Linked DNA regions of Arabidopsis thaliana. The protein of the gene in region 2 interacts with the protein of the main gene of each other region in a biochemical or structural test. Each region holds a gene or a part of one and is shown on either strand. Other genes may lie near its edges.

Region 1 (18,174 bases), on a different chromosome or scaffold from region 2:
TAAATCAATAGCACTCCTTTAAGCTCGATATCATTGCTTCCAGTCTCTAGTTAGGCTATTATAAAATTTAACATAATTCGGTTAGATATTTAACATAATTCGGTTAGATATAATCCGGTTATAAACCCTTTTTTTCTTTTACATATTTTATAAACTTTCCCAAATATATGTAAGGTATATCAATAATATATAATTTCAATGATGTTTATATTTAGTATATTTAAATTTTCGTTAACGTTTTCAATTGTACTCTTACACAATTTTTGGTGTTGTTTTTGAACTAAATAATCATTTTAGACACGTATAAGTATTTTTATAGGCATTATGTGTTCCAAATATACTATATCATCGTTTTTAACATCATAATCTAGAGTTATTCATACTTTTTTTAATCTTTGAACTATATATTATTTTTGATATGGATAGTCATAATATCCATTTTTAAAGGTTAAGATTACTAATCTTTTTTTTTCTTTGGAACACCGGTTAAGATAACTAATCATTCTCTCGATTTGAAAGATATTTTTTTCACAGGTGAATACATTTAAACTTTTAACATATATCAAAACAAAACAAATTTTGTAGTGCCGAATTCATTTTGCTATCATCTCTTCATACATATTTTTTGTCCAAAACAAAATTACAAGATGATAAAAATTTAAAACATTACTATTACGTGATTTTAGATTGTCTTTTTTTTTTTTTTTTTTGGACAAAAGATTTTAGATTGTCTAAAGTCATATATTTCTAATAAAAATTTTGAAATATTTTATATAACAAGTTTTTAATATTTTATAAATCTAAGGAAATGTATCTAAAAACACTTGAAATATCTTAACTATCTACATCTATGCGATTGGAAGCAGTAGAGATAGTAAATTTCGCTTGAAAGATCTAATAGGCTAATACTACTTTTCTAATTTTATTTGTTTCGCACGAGAGTCTCTCTGCATTTCCGAGTTTTGCTGAAATCAAAATCAAAATCAAAATCACGACAAGAAGAACACAAAAGTGCTCAATCGTCTCCTCACGATATATATCTGCTGAATCGGAAAACTCAAAGGTTTCACCGGAGAAGAAAATGGGGAAGAACGAGAAAACATCTCTAGGTCGAGCCTTAGTGAAGCACCATAACCATATGATCCAGGAAACCAAGGAAAAAGGCAAATCCTACAAAGATCAACACAAGAAGGTTCTAGAATCCGTGACCGAAGTCAGCGACATCGATGCCATCATCGAACAAGCCGAAGAAGCTGAACGTCTTTTCGCGATTCATCACGATTCCGCAACTCCTGTTCCTATCAATATGTGAGCTTCTCGATTCAATCATTCTTGTGAAATTGGAGATTTGCTTGTATTGAATCATTTTTTGGTTTGTGATTATGTTATGTAAATAGGGATACAGGTTCGAGTTCGAGTGGCATAACAGCTAAAGAATGGAAAGAGCAAAGGATGAGAGAAGAGGCTTTACATGCTAGTAGTCTTCAAGTTCCTCGTAGACCTCATTGGACACCTAAAATGAATGTGGAGAAACTTGATGCTAATGAAAAACAAGCTTTTCTCACTTGGCGACGGAAACTTGCGAGGTTTGTTTCTGTTTTACTTCGTTCTTCTTTGTATTGTTGACAATAAACTAGAAGGATTGTTGCTGTTAGTAGCATGGAGGATTGATTACTCATTTGCAAGTGTTCCTAGTGTTGACAATGAACTACAAAGTCCGATTGTTTTCTCAATGATCTAGTACTATGCTTTTCTATGGTTACATATTATAAGCTACGTACTGTTGTTTTCATTGGTTTACTCTCAATATTTGTTTGTTATTACAATATAATTGGTTTTGAGGTTACAAGTTGTTGCATTTATCTCAAAGGAGTACTTGATAAAGCTAAATTACTTTGGAAATGCAGATGTAAGTTCGTTATAGAATAAGGTACCAAAACAGTTGAATGCGTTTTGGTTTGACTACTTTTGTTAGTAAAAATGTATCCATTTTCACATTTTGAAGCAGATTTTAGCTTACTCAGGATACTATGTATGGCTTGATTTCGTTATGTACAATTTTCGTTGGGACTTATTGCTATATACTTATGCATGCCTACTTGTTCTGCTGTATTCATTCAGCCTCGAGGAAAATGAAAAGCTTGTGTTGACACCATTCGAGAAGAACCTTGATATCTGGAGACAACTTTGGCGAGTGCTTGAACGTAGTGATTTGGTATGTCTGTTTTCCAGGATTTCTTTTTTCGTCTCTTAGAGCTCATTTTGCATGGTTTAGTTAATTGCAAAATATCATTGGCTATTTTTTTCTCTTTCAGATTGTTATGGTTGTTGATGCTAGAGATCCTCTGTTTTACCGCTGCCCTGATCTTGAGGTAACTCTATCTCTGCCAACTTGCTGATATCTCTTAATTGAACCTTCCTGATCCATATCAAACATTAACGTGGAGATTTGTTCTGAAACAGGCATATGCACAAGAAATTGATGAGCATAAAAAAACAATGCTTCTGGTCAACAAGGCAGATCTGTTACCTTCTTATGTCAGGTAAACATGTTGCCTTGCTTCTTTTCCTCCAACCTGTTTGTTTTATTGCTAACCAGTTCGGTTCTATGTAATGTAAATTCAGGGAGAAATGGGCGGAATACTTCTCCCGCAACAATATTCTGTTTGTCTTCTGGTCAGCCAAAGCTGCTACGGCTACCCTAGAAGGTAAACCCCTGAAAGAACAGTGGAGAGCACCTGATACCACACAGAAGACAGATAACCCAGCTGTGAAAGTATATGGAAGGGACGACCTTTTGGATCGATTAAAACTTGAGGCTCTAGAGATAGTAAAAATGAGGAAATCTAGAGGAGTTTCCGCAACTTCTACTGAATCACACTGCGAACAAGTTGTGGTTGGCTTTGTTGGGTACCCGAATGTGGGGAAGAGTTCGACAATCAACGCATTGGTAGGTCAGAAGCGAACTGGTGTCACATCTACCCCCGGGAAAACAAAGCATTTCCAGACATTGATAATCTCTGAGGATCTAATGCTCTGCGATTGCCCTGGTTTAGTCTTCCCTTCATTCTCAAGCTCAAGATATGAAATGGTTGCTTCTGGAGTTCTTCCAATAGACCGGATGACCGAGCACCTTGAAGCTATTAAGGTTGTGGCTGAACTTGTTCCTCGACATGCCATTGAGGATGTGTACAACATCTCTCTACCTAAACCCAAATCCTATGAACCTCAGTCCCGCCCACCTCTTGCCTCAGAGCTTCTAAGAACTTACTGCCTCTCTCGTGGTTATGTTGCCTCTAGTGGACTACCTGATGAGACTAGAGCAGCTAGGCAGATTCTGAAAGATTACATTGAAGGTAAGCTTCCACATTTTGCAATGCCTCCAGAGATAACCCGAGATGATGAAAACGAGACAGCGGATGACACTTTGGGAGCCGAAACAAGAGAAGGTTCACAGACTGAGAAGAAAGGTGAAGAAGCTCCTAGTCTTGGTCTTGATCAAGTTCTAGATGATCTTAGCTCGTTTGATCTTGCAAATGGACTTGTGTCTTCCAAAACGAAACAGCACAAGAAGTCACATAGGAAACAATGATTCGGTCTTGATGGAACGCCAATTCTGAGAGTTTTCCTGAAACCGATCAACAAATGCTCGAATATATGATACAGTTGTGGATTTTTCTTATTGTAGAAATCGTGATAACATTCTAACAGCTGTTGTTTAGATATTATGTTTGAGCAAATACTAGTGATATCGATAAAGTTTCAACTTGATGCTAGTCAATATATTGATGAAGAGTCCTTCGAAGCAGGTTTGGTAGTTGTAATATATTGCCATTGAGATATTATAGATCACTCACTCATTGTGGGTTTGTTTGTTTTCTATTTGTGGGTTTGTTTGTTTTTAAATATGTGTAAAATCTTGGCCTGTTACATTGGCTTTATACCATAAATAACAAAAAAAAAAAAAAAAAAGATCACTCATTCATATGCAAAGCAACTCAAACTACAATTTTCATTTCCCAGACTTTTATTGTATTTTTTCAATTTAGGAATCAGACTTTTGTTTTAGACAAAAAAAAAAAAGAATAAACATTTTGTAACCTTTATATTCTCCAGCATCACTCTTGTACTAAATCAATGCACATGCAAGGTTTTCTCACCATTGTTGATATTTTCATTTTTTGCTCTATTTCATAGCTTTGGACTTTGGACAAATTCAATAGATTCCTCAAGCTTTGTCACTTCATCTAAAGTATGTCATCGCCGTCTTTTAATGAGCAAACAAACATATCAGTAAAGAAGTCAACAATTTATTTGCAATTGGCTCAAATTTGAGTAGCTCAACTCTTCTAACTCAGAATTTTCCTAGGTTCTTCATTGTTTTAAAAAAATTTGGCAAAGGGAAACTTTACTGATTAAGCTCTTTTTGTAGTTAATTACAAACCCTCTGAAATTTAAATTCATATATAAAAAAGTGTAACATCCAGATTGTACGCAATGATGAATGAGTTTCATTATTTCCATTATATTAGTCATTTTTCTTCATAGATTATTTCTAAAGCTTCCAAAACTGAAATTGGCGGTTTGTACGAAGTTAATCTGAATTGACTAATGTCGTTTCTGTTGTAGATGACATTCAATGCATTAGAAATCCTCATTTCATTACGATTTTTCTTCACCATTCATTGTATATTTATTCATGAGCAATATTGTTTATTCCACTTTTATGTATTGTAACATGGATATTATTAGCAATATTTTGATGATGGAGTTTCATGTGTTATATTCATCAATGAACTTAAAATTGACTGAATTCTTACTTTCTAGTAAATGTAGTTACTGCCATTTAAGAACCGAGGACATGTGACCGAACTTTTCTTCTCTACGTGGTTTTATCTAGTCTCAACTCTCAATTTGGATGATCAAAACCAATGTAAAAGTCTTATAGCACTTATTGGTGACCTTAAATTCGTAGGTACATTACTAGATTCTGTACTGTAAGATACATTTCTATATGTTACTGCCTAATAAATTAAAACATTTATAAAAATACGATACAAACATTTGAAAGGGTACGATGTCAAAAAAAAAAAAAAAAATTTTGAAAGGGTACAAACTCTGAGAAAGTGTGTCAAATACAAATAGTTTTCTAAAAAGCGTATCAATTATCATAGTATAAATCACCCTTTATAAATCACCCTAAATTTTCCTAGAAAACACTACAATTTGCAACATATGTCTCTCACAAATCCACCATTAGGTATATAAAATAATCAACACAATATTTTAAGCTAACTACACATTACCAAATCAGTTCAGTTTCATGCGTATTGTTTGCATTACATAAATGATGAAACAATTTCTTAGTACAAGACTATATATAGCTTCAATTTCGTTACTCAAATCGAAATAGATAATTGTTTTATTTCCTCAAATAATTTCTGTTGTTTTTATAGTAATTAAGTAAATGATAAAAATGATTTAATAAATGTAATTATCTTAGCTTAAAGAGAGAGAGATAAATAAACAAAGGGCAAGTTTTTTGATTGTTTGGTGTTGAGTGTCTCTCTGTCCTTATTCCTCAACAAAAAAAAAAAAACTGGGAAGAAGAAAGAACAAACTCATTTTCAAATTCTCCGAATCTCTCTACTCCAATTAACTTTTTTCCGGGAAGATCTCACCGGAGAAAAGCTAGCTAGGGTTTCTCCACCGTGAAGATTCTAGAAGCGAGAATTTGGAATTTGCTAATTAAGAAGATGTGTTACGATCTTTCTTAATTAAAAAAGCATTGAAATTGACGAATTTAGGGTTGTGAAAAATATGGATTTGGATTCTTCAATGGTACCAGAGAATGATCAAGATCCTATTGCTACGTCTGAGAATCAATCTCCTATGGAGGAGAAAGAAGAAGCGTCTGAGCAACAAACCGGATCCGAATCCGAATCGGCGTCTTTGACTCCTTCTCTTCCTCCTCCTTCGCAGCAACAACAACAACAGCAGCAACAGCCGCAGGTAACGGCGGTGGTTGGTCCGAGATGTGCGCCAACGTATTCGGTTGTGAATGCTATAATCGAGAAGAAAGAAGATGGTCCTGGTCCTAGATGTGGACATACGCTGACGGCGGTTCCTGCTGTTGGTGAAGAAGGGACGTCTTCTTATATTGGCCCGAGACTGATCTTGTTTGGTGGTGCTACTGCTCTTGAGGGTAATTCTGGAGGAACGGGAACACCTACTTCAGCTGGAAGTGCTGGCATTCGTATGTTTTTCGATTTCTCGTTGCTTTAGTTTCGTATAAAGCTATAAGCTTTAGTTTCTGAAATCATTCCTTGATGTTAGAGTATGATTTTGCATCAGTTTTAGACTTGCCCTGATGTGATAAGAGTAATGTTTCCTATGCAGGGTTAGCTGGTGCAACCGCTGATGTTCATTGTTATGATGTTCTTTCTAATAAGTGGTCGAGGTGAGTAGAAGATATGAATTGTGCTGTTTAAGGTAGGAGATCTAGTGATTTGTTGTTAAGTGTGAAGTTGAATTAATATGATGAAATGATGGTATAGGCTTACACCTTATGGAGAACCACCTAGTCCAAGAGCTGCTCATGTTGCTACTGCTGTTGGGACCATGGTAGTAATTCAGGTAGGGGAGAAATTGTTTTGTATTTTCTTGTTATGGATTATAGTTTAGCAATTCAAGGTTATCATTTAGGGTTGTAAATGAACCTGCTACTGATTTGTTTCTGTGGTGCAGGGGGGAATAGGTCCTGCTGGTTTATCAGCTGAGGATCTTCACGTTCTTGATCTCACACAGCAACGGCCACGATGGCACAGGTTTGAATATTAATCTGCTCTTTGTCGCTAGCTCGGTCCTGAAGTTCATATGCTAGCTTGTCGCTTGATTTGGATTATCCTCTTTATCTAGGGTTGTTGTTCAGGGTCCTGGACCAGGACCACGTTATGGACATGTCATGGCACTGGTAGGACAGAGGTATCTCATGGCAATTGGTGGAAATGATGGTAAGCAGTTTCACTCGCCACCTCATTAAATATGTATTTATATTCTCCTTAAATAGCTTCTTTTTTCTCAATATCCTTATATTACCAGGGAAACGTCCATTAGCTGATGTATGGGCTTTGGACACTGCTGCCAAACCTTATGAATGGCGTAAGCTGGAACCGGAAGGGGAAGGTCCACCACCATGCATGTAATTTGTGATTCCTTCGCTTCATTTCTTGTATGTGATTCTGTGGCTTTCAGTTAAGTGATTTGGATCTCTTGGGTTTGTATATTATAACTAGGTATGCAACTGCAAGTGCGCGATCTGATGGCCTTCTTCTTCTCTGTGGTGGAAGAGATGCGAATAGTGTGGTAAGCCAAAGAGTTTTTACTGCCATGTTATGACGTGGAGGAAATCCAAATGCTGTATTACTCTTTGTTACCATTAAATTAACACTGCACTGAACAAACTTGTTTCATGAAGAGAGGGGAATAGCTTTTCTTTGCAAATTACTTCAAATACGAGTTCAAATAGGAAAATATCTATCATGTTCTTAAAGTGACAATTAGAGTTTAAGAGCTTCTTTATCTGTCTTGATATTTAATGTTCGATTGCCATGGTTAATATGTCTTTGTGTACCTCTGCGTGATAGCCCCTAGCAAGTGCATATGGACTTGCCAAGCACAGAGATGGACGTTGGGAATGGGCCATAGCCCCAGGTGTCTCCCCTTCTGCCAGATACCAGCATGCTGCAGTATGAGATTCTTCTTCTTTTTTTACTTCTTTTAGCTAGTTCCATCAGAAAAACCAACATTTGGTGGATTATTTTAGGTCTTTGTAAATGCAAGACTCCATGTCTCTGGTGGGGCACTTGGTGGTGGACGCATGGTAGAAGACTCGTCCAGTGTTGCAGGTTAGCGAAAGGCGAGAAACAATCTCATGTTTGTGTTGTTAATGAGATAATACTTACGTTTTTTGCTTATACATACAATCTCTAAAATGATGGATATGTTACTTTTTTTTGGTACAACTTTTGGCTGTCTTAATTGATTAATTGTTAGTGAGGCATATTATTTCTTTCTAAAAGCATAGTTATATTCATCCTTTAAGCTGCATCATTCTTCTCAATGGACTGTAGAAGCCAAAATTTATTTGCAATTTATATAAAACTATCAAACAGGGATATTAAAAAAAAGTTCACTCATCCATAACTCATGAGGAAGCTACAAAATTATTTTCGTAATAACTAGTACATGCATTCATGTAAGCTTCTCTGACTGGTTCATTATTTTCTCTTTGTTCAGTGTTGGATACTGCAGCAGGTGTTTGGTGTGATACAAAATCGGTTGTTACTAGTCCTAGAACTGGTAGGTATAGTGCTGACGCAGCTGGTGGTGATGCTTCTGTTGAGCTGACTAGGCGATGCAGGCATGCTGCTGCTGCAGTGGGTGATTTGATATTCATCTATGGTGGGTTGCGTGGAGGTAAGGAAAAAAGCTTGATAGCTGTTATAGGCAATTTACCATTACACGTTTGTCCATGAAATGAACCAGGCATATAGTACTGAGAATCCAGTGATCTACTAATTTGGCATATTATTTATTGAGTTGTTAGTGTATGATAGTGTAGGATTTGTTTTTTAAGTAGGTAGTTTGATCTTTTGTTAAAGTCTGGGACTTAATATTATCAGTATTAGTTAGTAAAACCATTATAGAGATCATTCTTCACCAAATATATGTGCCGTAGCTTCTTTTCTCTTCCCTTTGCAGACCGTGCATTTTCTTAAAAATTGTAGCTGCTAAACTTAATTATATTCTCTTGATCCTATAGGAGTTTTACTTGATGACCTATTGGTTGCTGAAGATCTTGCTGCAGCGGAAACAACATCTGCTGCCTCTCATGCTGCTGCTGCAGCAGCAGCAACAAACACGCCACCTGGCCGTTCACCTGGAAGATATGGATTTTCTGATGAAAGGACAGGGGAGCTACCAGAATCAGCTCCTGACGCTGTGGTGCTGGGAAGCCCTGTTGCACCCCCTGTAAATGGTGATATGTATACTGATATTAGCACTGAAAATGCAATGGTTCCAGGAATTCGGTTAGTGTCTTAATATGTGGGGTGTCGTATTGTTAGCACACCTATGCATTTAGTTGTAAAATATTTATCAAACAACATTGTAGGAGAACAAGCAAGGGTGTGGAGTATCTTGTTGAAGCATCTGCTGCGGAAGCCGAGGCTATCAGTGCAACATTAGCTGCTGCGAAGGCACGACAGGTCAATGGGGAAGTTGAACTTCCAGATAGGGATCGTGGTGCTGAGGCTACGCCCAGTGGAAAACCTTCATTATCATTGATTAAGCCTGATTCTGCAGTACCAAATAGTGTTATTCCTGCAGGGGTTCGACTTCATCATAGAGCTGTGAGTCAATCTAACTCTATCAAGAAAAATCTGTCATTTACCGTAATTCCAGCTCATTTACCAGTGGTTTACATCTCTAATTTCTGATTTTTGTTTTGCATTTATTTTTGGAACTTTGTAAGGTGGTGGTTGCTGCAGAAACAGGTGGAGCCTTAGGTGGAATGGTTAGACAGTTATCCATTGATCAATTTGAAAATGAGGGACGCCGTGTTAGTTATGGGACACCCGAAAGTGCAACAGCAGCTAGGAAATTATTAGATCGTCAGATGTCAATCAATAGTGTTCCGAAAAAGGTAAATTGTTAATCAGTTAAGTGTTGCAAGAAATTGTTATTGTGTGCTCGAACTATTGTAGAGAATTTGTCTGCTGTGGCACTGGTCATTTGGTTTGTCTGATAAAGATAGGAAGTGTACTTAGATACTGTGGAGGTGTATTACCCCTTGGTTTAATAGTTTTGGAAACTTATTTTTAAACAGACATGTAATCCGACTAGATCATTTGTATTGTTCAATGGTATGAGGTTCCGAGTTGACTATTAATACCTTCTAATGATTCACAACTCAATTTTATTAGGTTGTAGCTCATCTTTTGAAGCCTCGGGGGTGGAAGCCTCCAGTTCGTCGCCAGTTTTTCTTGGATTGCAATGAAATAGCTGATCTTTGCGACAGTGCAGAACGTATCTTCTCAAGCGAACCTACTGTGTTACAGCTTAAAGCTCCTATTAAGATATTTGGTGATTTGCATGGCCAGTTTGGGGATCTCATGCGCCTTTTTGATGAATATGGTTCACCATCAACAGCTGGAGACATATCGTAAGTGTGCAGCTAAATCTCTTGCGCCATGCTATGTGTTGGTCTGACATTACTGACTGTATTAATTGTTCTCAGATACATCGATTACCTCTTCTTAGGAGACTATGTTGATCGGGGTCAACACAGCCTAGAGACAATTACACTTCTGCTTGCTTTAAAGGTAGTTTAAAGAGAACTATATTAATGCTCTCTTTTCAGGTATTATTAACGCTTAATAAGAAATGCTATAACGCTCTATAATTGACACTGCAGGTTGAATACCAACATAACGTACACCTGATTCGTGGAAATCATGAAGCTGCCGACATTAATGCACTTTTTGGTTTCCGGATAGAGTGTATTGAGCGAATGGTAGTGTCTCATCTCTGTGAATCTCTTGCTCCACTTTTAGGGTCTCATGTCATGGCTACTTTGCAGGGTGAACGTGATGGGATCTGGGTGTGGCATCGAATAAACCGTTTATTCAATTGGCTACCTCTGGCTGCACTGATTGAGAAGAAAATCATCTGTATGCATGGGGGAATTGGTCGGTCGATAAATCATGTGGAGCAGATAGAAAATATCCAACGTCCAATTACGATGGAAGCAGGCTCAATTGTACTTATGGATTTATTATGGTAAGTTCATGTCTAATGCTGTATCATTCTATGTTGTTTCCGTGATCCTTGTCTCACTAGTATGTCATCTTGTAATCTGTTAGGTCGGATCCAACTGAAAATGACAGTGTCGAAGGTTTAAGGCCCAATGCTAGAGGCCCTGGGTTGGTTACTTTTGGGGTGAGTGGTCTTTTTCTTCTATTTCGTACACTTTGCATTGATTACTGCTCTCTTTCCCTTCCCCTCCTCACCTCATACTCCATTACATCAGCTTGAGTGATCTTTTCTTTCCGCTCATTTTGAGCTTCCTAAGTGTGAAGAGTACTGATTTTGCTAGTCCCTTACCCTTGACATATTCATGGGCTGTTGTTAGACAATTATATTGAGTAATATAATTCTACTTCGCTTCCATAAGTAGTTCTGCCTGTTCTATTACTTACCAAGAATTTGACAACTGCAGCCTGACCGTGTCATGGAGTTTTGCAACAACAATGATCTGCAATTGATTGTACGTGCGCATGAATGCGTGATGGACGGATTTGAGCGTTTTGCCCAAGGTCATTTGATAACGCTCTTTTCGGCAACAAATTATTGTGGTATGTTTATGGAACCGAGAACTCACTCCTAAGCTGGTAATAAGACCTGATCTGATAGTTTCTGACAAAAAATGATCTATATTTATTCCTTCTCAGGTACCGCAAACAATGCCGGGGCTATCTTGGTGTTGGGGAGAGATCTTGTGGTGGTTCCTAAGCTTATCCATCCATTGCCTCCAGCGATAACCTCACCTGAAACTTCACCAGAAAGACATATAGAGGATACATGGATGCAGGTTTTTATCTCAAACAGATACTAATGCCTTCCTTTTTCCACCTGGAAAATGGCGTAACTAAGCATTGATATTTTGCAGGAGTTAAACGTAAATAGACCACCAACACCAACAAGAGGACGCCCACAAAATCCAAATGACCGCGGCTCTCTTGCTTGGATATAAACCCTACAGAAAGAGTGACGAGTGCGAGATAACATACCTCTCCCGAGTCCTGACAGCCGCCTCTAGGTGATCCTCATGTTGTGTACAGAACCAACCAAACCATTCAATTATCGATTGCTATTTACCAACGAGATGGATCAATGAGGGTTTTGAGTTATCGAAGAATTTCACAGGTTAAGTTCATTCAAGTCAGATGATGAAAGGGTAAAGAATTTGTAGTAGTAGTGAGGAGGAAGAGTATTTGTTTTGTAAAAGGGGTTTTCTCATTTTTATTCATATATTTGATTTTCTTCACTTTGCTTTTTTTCTTAGTATTGATTATATATGTGGTATTGGACTTTTGGTGAGGGACACAAACAGGAGAGTGAGTAGGAGGAGGATTTTAGAGGTTGTTTTAGTTTTGGGGTATTTATGTATCATAGAGAGGTGTGTTTGGTCGTTTGTATAATGTCTTCATTCATATTTTTCAGTATGTAATTTGTAGCAACGGTTTGTGTGTTTAATGATACAGAAAATATTCTCTCCCATTTTTTCTATCATATTCTTATTTTACCATCATTTTTAAAACATTTCTGTATTTTGTTAGTTTGTAAAATAAAAAATAAAAAATTGGATATGGAAGACAAACAAAAAATCAACTCAAATAAATAAATCCATAACTTCTTGGTAGCCAATTAACTTGTGGTTAGGTCACTAAGATGATCATGTAAAACAACAAAATAATAATTATAGCTAATATATATTCATTGTTTTGTGGAACAAATTTTAGAAAAAAGACAGAAGAGGTGGGAGATTAAGTTAGGGTTTTTGGGGACATACACACACACACACACACATACACGTTCATAAAGTCACAACTATTAGCTAATATGGATCTCACGGTTGATCTGATCTTCATTTACACTCATACGTAACAATACTAACTAAAACCTGACTATCGAAAACCATATATATTTCTTTAGCTTAGTATTGTTATCTACATTTTTATCATAACCTTTACTTAATCATCTCCTCTCTATCAATCTACACACATCAACCCATACGAAACCATCCAAGGGCCAAAACTATACACAGAATATACGTAAGCAACAAGCAGAAAATATATCATCCCCACTAATTATTTCTAATCCATGATTTGATAAGTTGAAGATGAATATATGGCCGAGTTCTCAGTTCCATGACTTGTTGACTCAAAATGAATGTTATTAAAGGTTTGGTCACAAGAATGAGGCAGGCCGAGGGAAAGGGAGACGCTGTTTCCATCCATTGTGTGATAGTTTTCGAACCCTCCGTTGAAATTGATGAAGTTCGCTTGATTCATGTGTTGCTTCGTGAACCTCATGACTACGCTGCAACTTGAGGATGAATTTTGCCTAGGGGTTTCAGTTTCAGTGAATCCTTGACGAAAGGCGGGTAGGATCGTGTTCGAAGATTCATTTGAAGTTGTATTATTGTACGGTTGCTTTGAAGATGAACCTTTGGTACTATACCGGTCACTTCCTTTTCTGCTTTCTTCAATATCCATTTCTTCCGAATAAAGTTCCTCCACCAGTGGCTTCCACATTCGAACTCGAGCATTAATGAACCAATTTGACACCTACATCCATTTTACACAAGATACTATTAACAATACTTATTTTGATTATATATAATCATGGGTGCTAAAAGAAAGTATTCCATAATATATATAATTACTAATTTAACCAAAATAAATTTGATTTACTTTACAAAGGATCACATATATGATATTTCTCGTATGCTATCATCGCTATTTTCATTAAAATAATTATAATAAAATAAATATACATCATCTATCTAAATAAATTTACCAAAATATATTTGGTTTACCTGCTTTTCTTAGAATTCTTGGGTACGTTTTTGTTTTCAGACTCGAAAAGAAAAAAAAATAGAAATAAAGAGATATCTTTCTAAAAATATTTTTTTGATCGGAATAAAATTTGTTTGAATCTATATATATATTCGGTTTTACCTGTAGATTATTTATTCTTGATAGTCGGTGTTAGATGATGTCATGAAATTGTATATGTACTATGTATGAGACATCTAACATTAAGAAACTTAAGTATGTCCAACTTCTGATAATCGAAATCAATTACCTGACTCTTAGTAAGGCCAGTCTGTTTGGCAAGCATTACCTTATCCAAATCCCTCGGATATCTATACAAACCAAAACAAGACACAACTAAATCATTAGCATGCATGTCTATACAAAACTAAGTAATGATCCTAGCTTCCATATCCTTAGTTAGTTCCCTTTGCTTCAAGGTCCCATCATTCTGATATATCGACAATAATCGTAACAAGAATTAAAGATAGAAGAAAACGTTACTTACGGATGAAGAAAATGCTCAAAGAGCCAAGAGCGTAGAACGGAAACAGCTTTTTCGGGCAAACCTCTCTGCGGTCTCCAAGCATTTGAATGGTGATGTGCCATCTTTCCCAACTTCTTAAGCTGCTCGTCAAATTCCTTTTGTCCCAAGAGCTTGTTTATTTGCTTGATTTGCAAACTTATCATGTCTTTTACAGCACGAAACTGCTTTGATATTGTTTGTAACGCCATATGTGTGTATGAGTTTGCTGAGCCTAAACCCGCAGCTTGCTCAAACGATGAGATTATAGTCTGCATTTGGTCATGGTATTGCTTGTATCTCTGTTCCACCTGTGTATAATTTACCAAATTCATTTCCCAAATCAATTTACCAATCTTTGAAACCTTTATAAAGTATCAAATACTTAACATGCAATAACCAAATATATGGACTGAACTTGAGTCCCGATCTCAAAGTAACAGAAAGTTTATTGCCATTATATATATCACCATGGTTGGTTTGTATATACAAAGATCTTATTATTATTATTTGTGTATCACATATTATATAGGTAGGTATAAATAAGTTACCATTTCACCCATGGAGATGAGTTTTGCTTTCTTCATTTGCAAAGCAGCTACGCCAGGCTTATAGCCACCATTGATGTCCTCAACTCCATAAATCGTGGACTCTTTACTCACCGGTCGCTCTTGTTTTGCGCCGTGGCTACCGTTTCCAACATTGACAATCTCATTGAGTAATTCTTGAGCCGCTTTCAAGTAGATCGGAGCCAAAGCCCTGAAGACTCCTCCGTTTGAAAAAGTGGAGATGGAAGAATTTCCTTGTTCTATATGACCTACTTCATCTCGAGGTCTATATTGTTGGGAACCAAAGCACAAGTTGTAGAAGTGATCGTCATGAGCATTAGTGGTCGTTGTCTGCTCGCGAAACGGATTCAGAGTCATCATAAAAAGATCAGAAGAGTGTTCTCTCATTTCAGATTCTCCAAGAAAGAAAGCAGCCATTATTCTGACAATTAAGCAACAAAACTTGCAATTCAAGAAAATATCAAATTATAATATAAATCGATCTAAAACATTAATAATATCCAAGAGCTTAGGAAGAAAAGGTAAGCAAAAGATGATGAAATAAAGATGTGACAAATCAAGAAAATTAAATTACCGTTTTTATTTAATAATTAGAAATGATGAGCAGCAAATTATGGGTGTGAGTTTCTCATTGTCTTCTTCGACGTGTCTTTCTCTCTGCTTGCGATGATCATCTAAATATCCTCTGCTTCATTGATCTGTCAACTAGAAAGTCCAATAAGTCGCCTTTATAAATAAAATGTGATTGGACTTTTCATAAATGGGAAAAATATGTACTTTTTTCTTTTATATCTCATTGGACAACTAAACAGTGACACTCACGATTAATATTTTTCTTGTGATGTTTCGAAGTTCAATGGATTTTGACCAATCACCAATTCTAGCATACATGATATATGCACGGCATGCTACTGCTACATATCCAATATTTCTCACTTGCATCTTAGGCACGATTCACACCCAATATCCAACCTAGCTAAAAAATTTCAATGTGGTCGCAAATGTAGATCTACGAGACAATCTATCTAAGAATAAGTATAGCTACCATATATATATTTTTACGATCACACTTCTATCATTGTCATTCGTTTTACCATTTGTATACTATAGGTGAAATAAGATTTTAATTAATGGTTGTTGACGAGAAAAATATATTACAGATGGTAGTATTGTCTTATCATTTGATGTCCGCACGTTTAATATTTGGCAACGCATCTATATGATCCCTACATGAATAACTTAGTAGGTCAACATTTATTATTAGTATATTGTATTATTATTACTAAATTAAAATCTACAATGAATCTATGTATATGTGTATAGTTAAATGTATGTGAAAAGATAATAGAAGTGGGTCAGCAGAACCATGGAGATAGTTGAAGAACGAGGAAACGTCTACTTCCACTCCACACATCAAAAGTCTTCTTTTATGTATTTAGATAACCATATTAGTTTGCGACAAGTCACTCTTTTTCTTCTTTTCCACAACTAAACAACTAATTAACTGTATTGCAATGCAAATCTATGTTTAAAAATTTATCAGCCAAAATAAATAAAGTTTATTTGCCTGGTTCCGCCTTTATCTTCAAAATTTCCCTATTCCTTTCATATAGTTTTCTAAATCATATTTTCTCTTATGTTTTCTTTGTGTTGTCAGTACTTGTGTTTGAAGATAGTAATGGTACATTGGAAAATAGACCACATGGTCCACAATTCCCGGAAATTCATTACTCTTCGAATTAAGCATCCATCCATAGTTAAAACACATTTTGACATAGTAATGTATCTAGAAAATAATTTCGAATACTAATATAAAATTTGGATTTTATTAATAGATTACATTTAGACATTATTTTTTGGTGATGCCATTATCTGCCTGTATTCCTCGGAAAGCTTCCCATCACACACCGAAATAAAGCTAGACGTATCTTAATTGATATCGCGATATGTGTTGAGATCAATTTTTTTTCTATTATTGAATGTGATAATAACTATTTAGTTTGGTGGATTGAGACTGTGTATGAGAATTCATCGTGTCGGTCAGATCCAAGTTGTATTTATATCTTTCACTTTATGATAATAGTATTTTTCCTTTTTAGATCAATTAAGTATAATGCGACATTGCTATTTATTTACATTCGTGGATTTGTGTCAATTCGCCATTCGTCCCGAGAGTAAGTAACTGTAAAAACAAATAAGAAAAAGACAATGCAATACAACTTTAAAAAAGTGTGTTATAAAAGTTTAACTAGGATGAGGAAAGAAAGAAAAGTGAAGTGAAACAAACTGTATGTTAAAAGCCGAAACTAAATCCAGATTATATTTATAATATTTCTAATCGTCTTGAAAACAGCTTAGCAAACTATACGTTCTTTTTACTGTTTGGTTTTCAGCTGTTTAATGTTTGTTCGAATTTTTAAAAACGGCTTAGCAAACTATACGTTCTTTGTATAGACCAAGTGAATTTTTAGCTAGGTAATAAAAATGAGTTTTGAATATATTTAAAATTTTGATCTAGAGAATAATTTTATGCTTTTGTTTTCTCTGAAAGCTTATGACCTTTAGAATAAATTTCAAAACCAAAGTTTCTTTGATGATATTTGTGGTTGGTCCACAAAATATAGCACTAAAACTCAACTTTGGACACGATAACATTGAAAACATATTCTGTTGATTATATCATAAGGTAAGTGAAACAAAATACTGATGGGATATTAAGGGAATGACTTGGACATTCCACTAGGGTATTGAAAAAGTTGGGTTAGCATGAATTAATCTAAAGCCATGTTGGAATCAGAGAATGACAAGTGTATTCTTTACTTTGTCAAAACCATCATAACTGATCAAAGATCATCATTAAAACGTTAAGATTGAGTTATAAAGCTAATTAAAGCTTAAATTACTAATTAAAAGCGCCATTAGAGCAACGTAAAAAATAAAGTAAAAAGAAGTAGGTCTGAAAAAAGTAGCCATCTCGTGTGGACTGCATTATCATGCAACTTCTAATCTTAGTTAGCCATTATGGAAACAATTCATTACTTTGTCATCTTATAAGAACCTTTTGCGTATTGACTTATTGTTACTCAAATGATGTTTTAAGAGATTGAACATGATTCTTTTTAATCACTTGTCGTTTGCAAAACTTGAAGAGGTAAAATCTTTCTATAGTATTTTGCTCCTACTCTAATATTGTACGGTCACCCGACTGTGATAGAATCAATCCCAGACTCGTGGCTATCTCTAGATAAACTTTTTTTCCAAAATGACCATCTACTTGACACATTGCCCGAACTCAACTTTTTTCGTCATAGTCTCTAACCTCATAGTCTAATTGACACATCTACTTAGATTCTTTCCAAGCCCTAAACTCTTTCACAACGAAATTTATTTGATATCTAGTGAATCTAAACACTACTTCATT
Region 2 (15,027 bases):
AGTACTCTCCAACCGCCACAGTGTCAATGCTTAAGGAGAGAATTGTCTCTGAATGGCCTAAAGGTTAGCACCGAGCACAATCTTTTGGTTTGTTTTTCGGCTAATCCGTGAAAAAGAAGTAAAAATGCGATAGAAGTGCTCTTTAATGCTTTAGATTTGGCTTTAGAACGTTTGCTTCAGCCATTTTTTTTTTTCTTCAGTTTCTTCACTTGTGGCTTGATAGACAAAGTTCAGACATAAGTCATAGGATCTGATTGACTTACTAATCATTTGTCTTAAAGTAGGAACAGAAGAAGGAAGTTAAACTATTGATCTTTTAAAAGGTTACTCGATCTTGTGATCTATGTTTTAACAGTTTCTCCACTTGTGGTATAGGCTTTTGAATTGGTCTGATTGTATTACTAATCACTTGTCTTATACTACAAATCATGTCTTTAGAGACTATAGGGACGAATACTGTTCTGGTTCTTTTTAGTAGAATTTCTTGATCTTACTCTTCAGTCTTGTGCATTCAACAAAAAATTGAATTTGTCTCATTTTGTTTCCTATTGTATCTTATTGACTAATCGAATTTGGGGGTTTTGAATGTGTGTAGACAAGAAGATTGTTCCAAAATCAGCTAGTGACATCAAGTTGATAAATGCTGGTAAGATTTTGGAGAATGGTAAAACTGTTGCACAGTGTAAAGCTCCATTTGATGATCTCCCTAAATCCGTCATTACAATGCATGTTGTCGTGCAACTGTCTCCAACAAAAGCAAGACCAGGTCTTGTTCTTTCTTATCTCCGTAAATCTTGTTTGTGGAATGAATTCTTTAGCCTAATATCTTGTTTTTTCTTTCTCTTACAGAGAAAAAAATCGAAAAGGAAGAAGCCCCACAGAGAAGCTTTTGCTCATGTACCATAATGTGAGAACAACAACAAGTCCCAAGTCAAAAAATCTGAAAGAGTTAAGTTTTGATTCTCTGTGGTATTTGCTAAAAGACCATATAAACATAAACTACCGCTTCATATTCGACATTTTCTTCACAAGTTCAAAGAAACCTTCATCTATGGCGTTATAAAGCTAGTCTATTAGAGTTGTTTCTCTTGAGCTGTGATGGAAAAACTCTTGTTTGGAGCATCCTTTATAAAGATAAGAGTTTTGTTACCGCGAACTAATTCAAGTATCTCTGTAACATATCTTGTATGGTTTTGTCAATCTTTAGTACATTTTAGACCTGGTTTTTTTCTCTATCAGGATCCGCCCAAAACTGTATCCAAACATCTTTATCCAGTCCATTACCTACAGTGAAAACGAGTACTAAACGTTTGCAGTTTGGTTCTTGAGTGGCAAACACTTTGATATGTTACTATATGGTCCATACCTTTCTCATCATTTTCCACTTCCACAAAGCCAATGTTTTGGGGATGTAGGTAGATACAAACCTCCAAAAGAAACAGAGAGCATGAGATCTCAATAAATGTCCTTTCACCTAACTTATCACTGTCTCCCACTTAATTCTCTCATTTATAACCTTCACTTTCACTTAGTGTCTCTCCACTATCTTGTCTTGTTTCGCCTTTAATTCTATTCCTCTCCTCTGGCTCTCATTTATAATCTTCACTCCAAATGCACCTTTCTTTGTACTCCCATCACTTTCTCTTCGATATGGTATTTACTTTAATCCGATTCGAATATTGTAACTATGAAAAACAAAATGAATAGTAAAAATATCCGTTTCGTATCCAAGCCTATTTTTAAAAGACACGTTTGTATAACTCTCTCTATATATAGAAAGGAACCACGAAGCTCTTTCAAGAGAGTTCTATTCTTGTCTGAAAACTAGTTCCCTATATTTCTTCTTTCTTCACACACATATTCTCCAATTCTTACATAAATATCAAATAAACCAAACTTGAAACTTGTTGTGCTTAAGATGACGAAGAAATCACTGACAATGTTTCTTTTTATACTTCTGCAATTTCTGCTCGTAAACTCTCTATCTTCAAAGCATTCATCACCCAAACCAAAACCAGATGCAGAAATCACTATAATGGGTTTTGTTTACTGCGATGTTTGCTCCAAAAACAGTTTCTCTAAACACAGTTACTTCATGTCCGGTAGTAACTCAGAACAAAAAGATCTCTTTAATTAATTCCCTGCAAAAACTCTGTTTCTTAACGTTTCTTTACACAGGTGTGGAAGTGAGGATAGTCTGCCGATTCAAAGCAGCTTCGTCAACAACGACAGAGACTATAACATTCTCTGCAAACAGAACCACCAACGAGTTTGGACTGTACAAGGTAGCCATATCTTCTCTAGATTGTGCTGATGTGGACAGTCTCGCGAGTTCTTGTCAAGCGAGTTTGATTGGAAGAAAAAACTTCTCCGATTCTTCTTGCAACATTCCTGGTTATAGAACCACTACGGATCAGGTCTTGTTTAAGTCTCAACAGTCTAATTCCTGTGTTTATGGATTCAATGCTTTGAATTTCAGACCGTTCAAGAGGGATCTTGCCTTGTGTGGCAAGAAATAAGGTTTTTAGAACTACAAATTATCATTCACTATTATTGAAACTCTCTGTTTGCTTTCTACTCAAATATATATATATGTCTTTCGTCTTGTTCTCGACCATTGGCTTTGGTTAAAAACAAAATTTGAATTTTTATTTCGTATGCTGTAAACTATTAGTATGAAAAATAAGGAAAATGAATCACTTTTTATTTCACAACGTAATGAACAGAGGAAAATTTTGGCGAATGCTAGAAAACACACCAAAATTTTACGAACAAATTTACACAATTTCTCCTAAAACGTCCGGAAAAATTGCACGACTGTTACTAGTTTTAAAGCACGAGTTACCAGGTCACCTGTTTTCGTTAGACTGATAATTCATATTTCTACAGCAAATTTAGTATATCAATCTGTGTAAATATTTTATTGATTTATAATATATAAATAAAGTTGCATCTAGTTATGTCGTCATAAGTTTACGCATACGTATATTTGGAGAAAATGTCAAAAAAATCTTTAATTGTAAAAAATAGCATAAAAAGTTTTAACTTTATCTCGAGTAAAATAATGCGCTAATTTTCATTAACTTTTTATTTTAATCATATTTTTAATTGACTTCGCATTTTTAATCGCTCATTTTGTTGACTTTACCCAATATGTCACGTAGTTAAGTTGACTAACAAAACAAATTTTTAGAGTTAAATTTTCGTTGAGATGTTATGTTAAACTACACAAAAAAACATTGTTTAACTAACAAATAAAACTTAAAATGAAATTCAATCTTCTTACTACTTAGATAAACTCATGGATACGTCAATGGTGACATACAAAAAGTGTATATTAGAGAGTAACTCAATTATATTATAGTGATTTAGCCCTAAGTTTTTAATTCTAGAAAATTTAAAAATTTTAATGATTAAAACAACTATAAGTTTTTAATATATTGGATGTATATTATTACAAACAATAATATATAAGATAACTTGTACATGATTCACCAAAATAGTCTAGTTGAAACAACTATAATTTGAAGTTAAATAGGCTAAGTTGAAACAACTATAATTTTGAGATTCAACTATTCTTGGGTTACGGATTTTTACATTCTTATTAAAATATTGTGTTATTGGTTTGGGGGGTTTTAAATTTCCTCAAATGAATATCTTCTTATACGAAAAGATTAGTTTTCTTTGTAATTTTATTAAAATGATGATTATATTTAGATGTGGTCATGTGGATGAACCACCACCAGTGCACCAAAAACAGAAAACGACGCCTACCAACTTGATGGGCTTTTAATAGATATAGTTAGTTAGGCCCAGTTTAGTGTTAATACGATACCGTTTGACGTAGTTTAACGGCCACCGACACGAACGAATCCAAAACGGCACCGTGTCAATCGCATCCAAAGCTCTGATGTAAGAAACTCTACACTTGTTCGAGTTTCGGAGAAAAGAAACGATGAGGAAGAGATGAAACGCGGTGGAACAAGACGGAAGCGGTTGTTCGGGAAGACGATTCTCTTATCATCTGTGGTTTTCTTCATCGGTTTTGGTTTGTTGTTGCTCACGCTCCGTTCCGTAGATCCTAATTCGTCTTTCATCGACGACGACGATGACGAGTCCGAATCCGAGGAGGCTTCGAGATGGAGCAACTCTTCTTCGATTGGAGAGGCTATGGTCGATGGAGCTAAACTCTGCGCGACGGTAGAAGAAATGGGAAGCGAATTCGATGGTGGTTTCGTAGATCAAAGTCTCAGAGTTCGAGATGTTATCCATCGCCATTTTCAAATCAATGGTGAGATATTTTGTTTTTGAATCGACTCTTATATAAGCGGAGGTGTTTACGATGAATCAATGTCGATGTGGTTATTGTGGTTTATAGGAGCTTCAGCGATCCGTGAGCTGCCTCCGGAGCAATTTTGTAGACATGGTTATGTTCTAGGGAAAACAGCAGAAGCTGGATTTGGAAACGAAATGTATAAGATCTTAACATCAGCAGCATTGAGCATAATGTTAAACAGATCCTTGATCATTGGCCAGACCAGGCATATATTGGTTCTTTCTCAATCCTTTTTCTCTATATTAACTGAACTGTTACTATGCTTGTTGTAGTTTGTGTTATTTGTCTTGTTTATATTTCTTTCTTTCTCTGGGTATCCTCAGGGGGAAGTATCCTTTTGGTGATTACATTGCTTACTCAAATGCTACGTTTACAATGAGTGAAGTCAAGCATCTGTGGCGACAAAATGGCTGCGTGAAGAAATACAAAAGGCGGCTTGTTATGAGATTGGATGATTTCGAGAAACCGGCTAAGAGTAATGTTCTATGCAGTAATTGGAAGAAGTGGGAAGAAGCTATTATATGGTCAGTTGAAGAAAAGAAAGTACAGAAGATACAACTTTGAATTCATTTTGTGAAAGTTATAATCATTACTGAGTCGAGCATTTGGTTTTCAGGTTTCAAGGCACGACAGACGCTGTGGCAGCTCAGTTTTTCCTCAAGAATGTGCATCCTGAGATGAGAGCTGCTGCATTTGAGCTATTTGGAGAGCAAGGAAACTCGGCACCACGAGGTAATGTGTTTGGAGAGTTGATGATGAGTCTCATATCTCCCACAAAAGATGTTAAAGAAGCAGTGGACTGGGTTCTACACGAGACTGGGGATCCTGATATTTCAGTGCACATGCGAATGTTGATGAGCAAGTATGTTAAAACGTGCATCTAGGTTTGTTTTTTTAGTTGTTGAGCTTGTTGACTAAGTCTTCCTTTCATGTTTTTCTCCAGATCTGTTAGACCTATGCGTGCAGCGATAAACTGTCTAGGGAAAGCAATTAACAGACTTGGCATACCGAACCCGAGAGTGGTTATAGTGTCTGACACTCCATCTGTAGTGAAAATTATCAAAACAAATATCAGCACCATTGCAGAGGTATCAATGATCTATTAAACTTGCACTTTCTCTAATCTTCCCAATGATTTATTCAATTCCATTGGCGGACTAAGTAAGTTGCAATGGTTTTCAGGTTCTACATTTTGACTATAAGCTTTTCCGAGGTGATATCGCTCAACGTGGCCGCGGTTTACCAATGTTAGATTTCAGAATAAAGGATTGGGGTCCTGCACCGAGGTGGGTTGCATTTGTAGATTTCTTCCTCGCGTGCCGTGCTAAACATGCGGTGATCTCCGGTGCTAACAGGCGAGTTGGGACTACTTATGCTCAGTTGGTTGCTGCATTAGCCGCGGCAAACAGTCTCAGTTAAGATCGTTTTTTAGTTTCCTCAACACTTATTTTTCTTTCCTTCTGATCTGTCTCATTAACAGTACTCCTTGACTGGTTAATTCACAGAGGATGGTTCGAGCAACTCAAGCTTTGCGTTCCTGAGTAGTTTCCAGAGCAATTTGTTAGCAGATGGTCTGAAGAACCAGGTAGGTTGGGGACATGTCTGGAACCGATACGCTGGACCGTTAAGCTGTCCAAAACAGCCAAACCAATGCGCCTTCACGCCGCTTGCACCTCCTGGTTGGTGGGACGGTATATGGCAATCGCCCATCCCACGGGACACTCGTAGGCTTGCAGCTTTCGGCATTGAGCTTTCCGGGTTTGGTACGGTTAACGAAGACCGGTTCCACGCCTATTGTAGCGCCAAGAAAGAGTACGTAAGCACTGTAACAATCATATAATGACTTCTTGAAAAAGATTCTGGACTCTTGGTTATAAATGGACTCACTGGTTTTATTCTTCAAATCTACTTCCCCTTCTTTAATTGAACCGGCCATATCAAACTTTTTGTTCTAAATAACCGGACCCAAACCGAATTAAGCAAACCGAACGCCCAGGCCTACGAGTAACTAGCTGGCCTCTTGGTTCAATATATGGTTTTACTACTCCCTTCTTAAATTGAACCGGCTTTCTTACCAGGTCTAAATAACTAAACCCAAACCGAACTAACTAATTAAACCGAAGTCAAATATATCCAGCTATAAGTAAGAGAAGACTTCTGGTGTTTATTAGAAACAAAGTAAGATTAAGAGAGGAATAAAGCTGGTGTCAGACATTAAAGATGGAACATCATCTCGTGGAATCAAACTTTTCCTAATACAAAAATTGATTCTCGGTTAGTGAAACTTCAATTTACTACCACTTGCAGATTGTTAATTTCATTATTATTATTCTCGTCGTTAGAAATTTGCTACTAACATTGCAAGTAGGTTCAGGTATAGGTGAGAGCTAGTTTAAGATGGACAAAACTAATTATGTAAGTAGTTCTTGTAAAATATGCATTTTAAAGGTAACAATTGCTATTTTGGTGTAAACTTTTGTAATGACTAAAAATAAATAATTGTGATGGAAATAAAATCTGATTACAAAAAGATTTGAGAACGTCATGATTCATTCATAATCATGTACTGTCTACCATACTTTTTATTCTACGTACTACCATACAATCTCCAAATTTTAAGAGTGGTATGGCTCCATGACTCACATCACATGATTTACATTACATATTGTACTAATGTCAGAACCTTAACCGATCGTAAAAACCGATCAACAACGTTAACCATCATTATTGACCGTTATCTGTCGTCATAAAATCTCGGCCAAGGCTTCTTTAAAGTCTTGGCTAAATCAAAAACAACTTTTGAATTTGAACCTCATAGTGGAGCTAGAGAAGAACACAACCAAGAATCAAATGTGTATACGTTCGTATAATTAATACTTGTTAATACTGTTTCCCTCTCCTCTTTCTTTAGTTTTGTTAATTACTAGACTTTTATGCACAAAATGATAAGAATGGAGTCATAAAATCCATAGAAACCATAAAAAAAAAGTTCCGATAATTATCATTATCGTATATTGAATAATGTGAAATAGAAGTTGAATGTGTTTCCAAATTTGGTTCGGAACTGTCTTATGTCTCAGACAGAGAATCTTTGATAAAATCTTTTAACTTACATTGCATGGATATATTGGCCTAAATTTTACCATTATCAGCGTTCCTTTTAATTTTGAGGTTAAACATAGGGAAAAGCATCTTGCCGTTTTCATCGTCTGTTAAAAATTATTGAGTTTTAGACTGGGAATCTTTAATACTTGTAGCTCACGTTACATGAATTTGTTTATCAAAATTTTGTTATTCTCTGCGGTTTTTGCAATACACTTAAAAATTATTTTGCACCAAAACCAACCAACAAAAAAAATTCTTCAATGAATTTCAAAAACGTTGATAATTTTTTTGTCGTTACGTCTATAGTTTTGGGCCTTTTTTGAATGCATAACAAACATAGTTATCATCTAATATATCACTATTAGAATTTAGAAATACTTAACGTGAGGATTATTTTCTAATTTTTGTCTTAAAAATTAGTTTAAATTCAGAATCCAACATTTATCACAATTATAAATTCCAGGGATATAAAGGAGAAACTTACTATAAAACAATTAACATTGTAGATTATTACCCTCAATGGCATAATAAAACAATAAATGATTTTATCTCATAGAAGCAATTGGTGAGTAACGTACCATATATATTGCACCCCCATGCTCTCTTTTGTTGATTACGTGTCTTTCCTTCCTATCAAAACCCCTTCAACCAAATCTTATCTAAATCCCCCAAAATTTTACGAAAACTCTCGATTTTAATCTAAATCTCCTTCCTTATCACCTCACAAATTTCTCGTGTTTTTTTGTAATCAATTTTTGATGGAAAATTATTCCCAAAACTCGAATCTCTGTTGATCGTGTGTTTCTTGGGGTTCGTCTGATTCCTTCAAAGTTTTCATCTTTTTGATAACAAAACCGTTAGTTCTTTGTCCTCGTGTGTGATCATCTCTTGAGCCCTATTGATAAACCATATAGAGAGTGTATGTGTGTGTATATCTTTGTTTATTGAGTGACACCAACAACAAAAAGATTATTTTCCTTGAGATTGATTAAAAGAAAACATGGTTAGTTGCTTGTGTTTTCGTCCCAGTCGGAAAACGAAGCTCAAAGACAAATCTCATAAGAGATCCATACGTAACCAGACATCCTCCTCTTCTGGTTCCTCTCACTTCCCTTTGATCTTTTTATTATTATTTATAGATTAATCTTGAGATTAGTCATCTTTAATACCAGTCATTAGTAGTAAATCATGATAAAATCTCCCTTTTCTTTTAAATAGCTTATTTATTAATGATACATATAGTATTTGTCTTGTGATTAGTTTATACGGATCGTACAAATCCCGGCTTAGGGTTTGTGTTTTATAGTTCAAAGATTTGTGTATTTGGCTGATAAATGTCTTTTTAATCTACTTGTGATCCAATAACATATGTGATATAGTCTCTCATTGTGTTGTTTTGTTCCTCTGTAGCCCAACCAGCTGGAACAGCAAAAGAAGTAGATTCGTCAAGTTCACAAACCGTAGTGCAAGATTCTTCTAGATACAGATGTCAGATTTTCTCATACAGAGAACTCGCCATCGCGACTAACAGCTTCAGGAATGAATCTTTGATCGGAAGAGGTGGATTTGGAACTGTGTATAAAGGAAGGCTAAGCACTGGACAGGTAATCTATTATTAACATTTGGACTAATCAAATCAATAATCTTGTCGTTGTGAAATCTCTAACTGTTTGTCATTGTGCTTTGTTGTTGGTCTTAATTCAAGAACATAGCTGTTAAAATGCTTGATCAGTCTGGTATTCAAGGAGACAAAGAGTTTCTTGTGGAAGTCCTAATGCTCTCGCTCTTGCACCACCGAAACCTAGTGCATTTGTTCGGTTATTGTGCTGAAGGCGATCAAAGACTCGTTGTCTATGAATACATGCCTCTTGGATCTGTAGAAGATCATCTCTACGGTAAAAAAAAAACTACACTCAAACCAAGAAATTTTCAAGAACGAGATTCATTAAAGTTTTTTAAATTCTTGTGTTGTTTTGTCAGATCTTAGCGAGGGTCAAGAGGCTTTAGATTGGAAGACAAGGATGAAGATAGCTCTAGGAGCGGCTAAAGGGTTAGCGTTTCTTCACAACGAAGCACAACCTCCTGTGATATACAGAGATTTGAAAACTTCAAACATATTGTTGGATCATGACTATAAACCTAAGCTCTCAGATTTTGGACTTGCAAAGTTTGGTCCAAGTGATGATATGTCTCATGTCTCTACTAGAGTTATGGGAACTCATGGGTATTGTGCACCAGAGTACGCGAACACCGGGAAGTTGACGCTGAAATCTGATATTTATAGCTTTGGAGTTGTGCTGCTGGAGCTTATCAGTGGACGCAAAGCTCTTATGCCCTCATCCGAATGCGTTGGTAATCAAAGTCGCTATCTTGTGCATTGGGTAATCCTCTCAACCTTATTTTGCTTAAGGATGGATTAGTTTTTTCCTTATGACCATTTATAGGCTTTGCTTCTTTTAGACTATATAACCAGATTATATCTATCTAAATTCCAATTTTGCTTAAGAGAAAAATTGTTTTGATGGTGACCTTTTGGTCGATTTTGCATAATTATACCGTTTACGATTTAGGGTTTAGGGTTTAGATTAATCAATTAACCATTAAACCATATGCTATCAATTTTGATTTTTCGTAAAAATGGTAGTGGTTTTACTATTGACCTTTAACCATATATAGGTTTTGATTTTGGTTATGCTGATGAAAAAGAGTTTCGTGTTATGGCCCTTAATGATGTGTGGATACGTATTAGACTAATGAATGTTCCGATTTTGATGACGACATGTTCATGTGTTTCTTTTTTTTTTTCTTAACAGGCACGACCGTTGTTCTTGAATGGCAGAATAAGGCAGATTGTAGATCCAAGGTTAGCAAGAAAAGGCGGTTTTTCGAATATACTTCTTTATAGAGGTATTGAAGTGGCCTTTCTGTGCCTAGCAGAAGAAGCAAACGCTAGACCATCGATCAGCCAAGTCGTGGAGTGTCTTAAGTATATCATTGATCACACAATTAGGAAGGAAAGGAGAACTAGGCGTAGACTACTAGGAGGAAATAAGGATGGGGCGGGGACATCGAGGTCACCGGATGAGACAATGATGAGGATGTTAGAAGAAGAAGAAGAATACGTAACTAGTGAAGAAGCTATTGAGAGAAGGAGGGTAATCGTGGATGATGCTCGTACTTGGGCCGGTATGAATAGGAGAGGGGCTACGCCACCAACTCCGACTCCATGAAAGTGAAGTAAATTTTTATTAACTTGTTTTTCAAGTTATATTTGGTTAAGTTTGTTTGGTGAGACTATTGTTAGAAACCAAATTTTGTTAAAACATTTAAACATGGCAATTTAGTTAATACTAGATTTATGTTTGTTTTTATATATGTACTAACATCAAATTGATTTCTTACAAATTTCATCTGCTTCAATAACTTCGGTTTATTTAATTCGATTAAGATTTTGTTTCATAACAAAAAAATTAATATTTTGGACGTAAACTTTTTCATTTCATTTTTTTTAATATTTAATTTTATTATATTGAATCAAAAATTACATGGTTATCAATAAACATACACATACAACCAATATTTAGGTAAAACAAAATAATCGAAAAAGTAAAATCGCACGTTGCTTCTTTCGATAGGTAGGACTTATATGCTACCAGAGAAATAATTCTGTTACTTTTTTTATTCGTTTTCATCTTTGATCTTCTTTTTTTTACTATCGCCTTTTTGATGAAACTACAATAAGTTCTTCAAAAATTATTAGTTGCGATCCATCTGTTACATCGCAAATCATACAAATTTTTTTTAGTTGTAGAAAACATGATTGTTTATATAGCGACTTGTTTTCCATATAGATATTCCTTCTTCACAGCCTCCAACACCGGTATCATGACTCCCCAACATCCATATAACGCTGCCACTGGATTCATATGGATCATATTCATATAACGCTTAACATTCTGCAAACTTGAAACTTTAGTCAGATAGCATTATAACATATCTACCATCCTTATTGGAACCAGAAGCGTTCTACAACCACTTTGTGATTTTTACATCGGAATTGTTGTACACGTAAACTTTTTTGTGTTATGAAAAATGTATTTAAAAGTTGAATGAACATATTTATATAGTTAGGCCCACTTGTGTGAATTCAGATTTTCAAGGCTCAAAAGAATATTTTTGTTTTAGAGAAGGTTGAGTCCATCATCATAACCCATATGTTGCCTGTCATCATATTTTTCTTTCGACCTTTTTCTCCTCGAGATTTCAAAAGATAATCACTATTAAGAAACAAAATTTTTGACCGCGGTTACTAAGTGACAAACCAATGAAATAAAGACACGTCAGCTTCTGTCAAAATAAGAAAGATAAACTAAAAAAACGACGGTCACACACAGTTTCTTTCTTTTTGGTTATATTAAAATGTTTTTGTTTGAGAAGACAAAAAAAAAAAAAGTGGGGGAAGAGAACCCACCATTGAAATTGGGGGAAGAAGAGAAGAGAGGCTAACACACAAAAAAAAAAAAACCCTTCTTTTTCGCTGGCTTACTCGTGCCCTTGTCGGCTTACTTCGCCGGAAATCTGAATTATCCTTTTGCCGGAGACTACTTACCCTTCTCTTTCTTCATCTTCGAAACGGGTTTTTAAAGCTCAGCTCTTGGTGACGCCGTCGTGAGAGAGAGAGAGATTGAAGTAGAAGAAGAAGAAATTGAGGTTGAGAGATGTATGTAGTGCCTCCGCCTCAGCGATCTGATTCTGGATCCAATGGTGATTTAAGGGTTTACCAAACTTGGAAAGGCAGCAATGTGAGTTTTTTTTTTCTCTTTTTTGTTCTTCTTTGAGCTATAGATGCTTCATTACTCTTCCTTCCCATTTTTTTAGTTTTTGCTAAGTCTATTAAATGGGACTTTAGATTAGCTGCTATGTTTTCAATTTCAACCTAGTTCAAAATTGGAACTTTATTAAGTCTTTAGGAGAATCTAGCTATTGCGTTTTTGTGAATCCTAGGTTTTGGTGTCGTTTTCATAGGTTGCTTTTGTGGTGAATACCCTTTGGATCGTTTTAAGCTGGACAAGGCATTTTAACTTTATCTAAATATAGCTCAATGATAGATTGAGTTACTTTGGACAGAAAGGTTTTGTAATTTGAGATTACACATATATATATAGTAGATACTTGTGTATAAGGAGGTTTTCAATAACCTTCTCTCTGTGTTGCCTTAAGACATCAGCTAGAGAATCTGAATACTTCTTCAATGATTACTTACTCTGAGTACTGATTAAGACATGTGTTGTGTGATGTACTGAATTCATCGCTGGTGTATTGTTTTCCTGGATGATTCTTGTTTTTGGGGAATACTTTGTTCTCGAAAGTTTCTCTACCGGGCTGTTTATTTTCGCGTTTTATTTTGCAGATATTCTTTCTTCAGGGAAGGTTTGTATTTGGGCCAGATGTTAGATCACTGGCGCTGACCATTTGTCTCATTGCTGTCCCTGTTACAATTTTCTGCATCTTTGTCGCAAGGAAGCTAATTGATGACTTCTCCGATAGCTGGGGAGTCTCAATAGTAGCTGTCGCCGTCGTGTTCACCATTTATGTATGTATAGTTTTTTCTCGCATTGCATAGCAGATGGTCTCTATAATATTCTGTAGCTGATGCTTTTATTTTGTATTCCCTTATGATTCCGTTTCTTTCTTCAGGATTTAATTCTTCTGCTGCTTACATCCGGAAGAGATCCAGGTATTATCCCAAGAAATGCTCATCCTCCAGAGCCTGAAACCCTTGATGGAAACATGGATGCAGGGGCTGGCCAGACTCCGCAGCTGCGATTGCCTCGCATTAAGGAAGTACAGCTTAATGGAATCACATTTAAGGTCAAGTACTGTGACACTTGCATGCTCTATAGGCCGCCTCGCTGCTCGCATTGCTCAATTTGCAACAACTGCGTAGAAAGGTTTGACCATCACTGCCCTTGGGTCGGCCAATGTATTGGGATGGTAAGTCAAAATCCAACTGATCCCGTCTTTAAGCTATCCACATAAACCATAGTTTCCTAAATATCATCTCATATTCTGATGGTTGTTGCAGAGGAACTACCGATTCTTCTTCATGTTCGTCTTCTCCACGACCCTTCTATGTATATATGTGTTTGCCTTCTGCTGGGTCTATATAAGAAAGATTATGGAATCAGAGCACACAACCACTTGGAAGGCAATGCTTAAAACTCCTGCCTCCATTGTTCTAATAATATACACATTCATATCAATGTGGTTTGTTGGTGGCTTAACAGTTTTCCATTTATATCTCATCAGCACGAACCAGGTATGTTGCGACCATCCAATCCCCACCCTCTCTTAAGGAATCACGGTATCTCTGTAACCATTGATTTATCTTTGTTCTTGCAGACTACATACGAGAATTTCCGATACAGATATGATCGGCGAAGCAACCCACATAACAAGGGAGTGGTTAATAACTTCAAAGAAACATTTTTTTCCACAATCCCTCCTTCAAAGAACGACTTTAGAGCTATGGTCCAGCGTGAACCTCCATTACCTCCTAGATCTGTAGCAGGTGGTTTTATGAGTCCAAACATGGGTAAAGCCAATGATGAGATTGAAATGGGAAGGAAGGCTGTTTGGGCAGACATGGGTCCAGCAATGTCAGATCATGGTGACGGTAAACATGGTAACAATGAGCGGTTACATGTTAAGGACGGTGAGTTAGGCGAGCTATCTCCAGACATTAGGGCAACAGTTGATGAACAGAGTGATAGGCCAAGTATGCACCCGAGACGCTCAAGCTGGGGAAGGAAAAGCGGAAGCTGGGACATGTCACCAGAAGTTATGGCCTTAGCAGCCAGAGTAGGAGAACAAAACCAGAACGGCGGAGGTAGCAGCAGCGGAAGCGGTTTAGTGACGGAGAACCGGCCTACATAATTGATTACATGGTTTAGCACCGAAGGAAGAAAGAACATAGCCGAAGTTCGGTATGGTGAATACAGGTTTAGAGAAAATCTGAGGGGAGTTTCTTTTTCTTTTCTTTTTCAAATGTGTATTTTTTTTCTGGGATTATTCAGCTTATAATCAGTCTTGTGGTTTGTGGTTTATGGAGGGAAAGCAGAACTTGCTAATGTTCTTAATGTGGAAAGTGTTTGTGTTGGGCTTTGTTGTGGTAAAGCAAAGGTTGAATTGGTGTGTTGTTTGTATGAGTGAGCTTTCTTCTGGATTTGTTTTCTTCTTCTTTTCTTTTAGTTGTGTTAATACATTTAACCAGAGATTTCTGTTTTTTTTAAGGTAGAGGAGAAAAAAGTTGATATATAAACAAAAAAGTTTCTGTGTTATTTTATCAAGAAGCTGAAACAGAATTATCAAGACATGTGGACCAAAAGACAGAACATTTATATAGTTGTTCATTGAAGCATGGCTCTGCACTTAATGCAGAAGAGCCCTAATGTTTAATTTATTTTGCCTCTAAATTAATTTAAATTTGTTTTTGTTTGATAGGACAAGGTTACAGAAGATGAGTGTGTTAAGGTCTCTGCTGAGTCAAAGATATAGTCAAGAAAAATGTCCAAATCAATAATTAA

The links.
Region 1: of the proteins of CDG1 (region 2) and BSL3, one has a biochemical effect on the other in vitro, tested with the Arabidopsis thaliana proteins (one study listed by BioGRID).

The regions. Positions count from the first base shown.
Region 1 is NC_003071.7:11,624,368-11,642,541, forward strand, and holds BSL3 (BRI1 suppressor 1 (BSU1)-like 3), read left to right. Parts: upstream 1-5,551; 5' UTR 5,552-5,820; coding exon 5,821-6,256; intron 6,257-6,399; coding exon 6,400-6,460; intron 6,461-6,557; coding exon 6,558-6,636; intron 6,637-6,747; coding exon 6,748-6,827; intron 6,828-6,918; coding exon 6,919-7,013; intron 7,014-7,101; coding exon 7,102-7,201; intron 7,202-7,295; coding exon 7,296-7,365; intron 7,366-7,646; coding exon 7,647-7,748; intron 7,749-7,825; coding exon 7,826-7,907; intron 7,908-8,298; coding exon 8,299-8,478; intron 8,479-8,824; coding exon 8,825-9,092; intron 9,093-9,175; coding exon 9,176-9,413; intron 9,414-9,535; coding exon 9,536-9,706; intron 9,707-9,986; coding exon 9,987-10,225; intron 10,226-10,300; coding exon 10,301-10,385; intron 10,386-10,477; coding exon 10,478-10,576; intron 10,577-10,642; coding exon 10,643-10,842; intron 10,843-10,925; coding exon 10,926-11,001; intron 11,002-11,281; coding exon 11,282-11,417; intron 11,418-11,513; and 5 more. Other genes in the region: AT2G27200 (P-loop containing nucleoside triphosphate hydrolases superfamily protein), read left to right, coding at 1,082-1,308, 1,398-1,586, 2,122-2,215, 2,316-2,372, 2,464-2,543, 2,626-3,592; BLH5 (BEL1-like homeodomain 5), read right to left, coding at 12,939-13,412, 13,933-13,993, 14,170-14,549, 14,736-15,170. UniProt on the Arabidopsis thaliana protein: Phosphatase involved in elongation process, probably by acting as a regulator of brassinolide signaling.
Region 2 is NC_003074.8:9,932,351-9,947,377, reverse strand, and holds CDG1 (Protein kinase superfamily protein), read left to right. Parts: upstream 1-8,072; 5' UTR 8,073-8,441; coding exon 8,442-8,538; intron 8,539-8,851; coding exon 8,852-9,045; intron 9,046-9,146; coding exon 9,147-9,336; intron 9,337-9,421; coding exon 9,422-9,822; intron 9,823-10,254; coding exon 10,255-10,671; 3' UTR 10,672-10,796; downstream 10,797-15,027. Other genes in the region: MUB4 (membrane-anchored ubiquitin-fold protein 4 precursor), read left to right, coding at 1-63, 596-766, 850-911; AT3G26960 (Pollen Ole e 1 allergen and extensin family protein), read left to right, coding at 1,919-2,102, 2,179-2,519; AT3G26950 (uncharacterized protein), read left to right, coding at 3,967-4,291, 4,379-4,541, 4,660-4,860, 4,953-5,198, 5,280-5,424, 5,519-5,750, 5,842-6,176; AT3G26935 (DHHC-type zinc finger family protein), read left to right, coding at 12,160-12,243, 12,852-13,034, 13,139-13,435, 13,527-13,760, 13,844-14,377. UniProt on the Arabidopsis thaliana protein: Serine/threonine-protein kinase involved in the positive regulation of brassinosteroid (BR) signaling and plant growth. Mediates BR signal transduction from BRI1 receptor kinase to BSU1 phosphatase.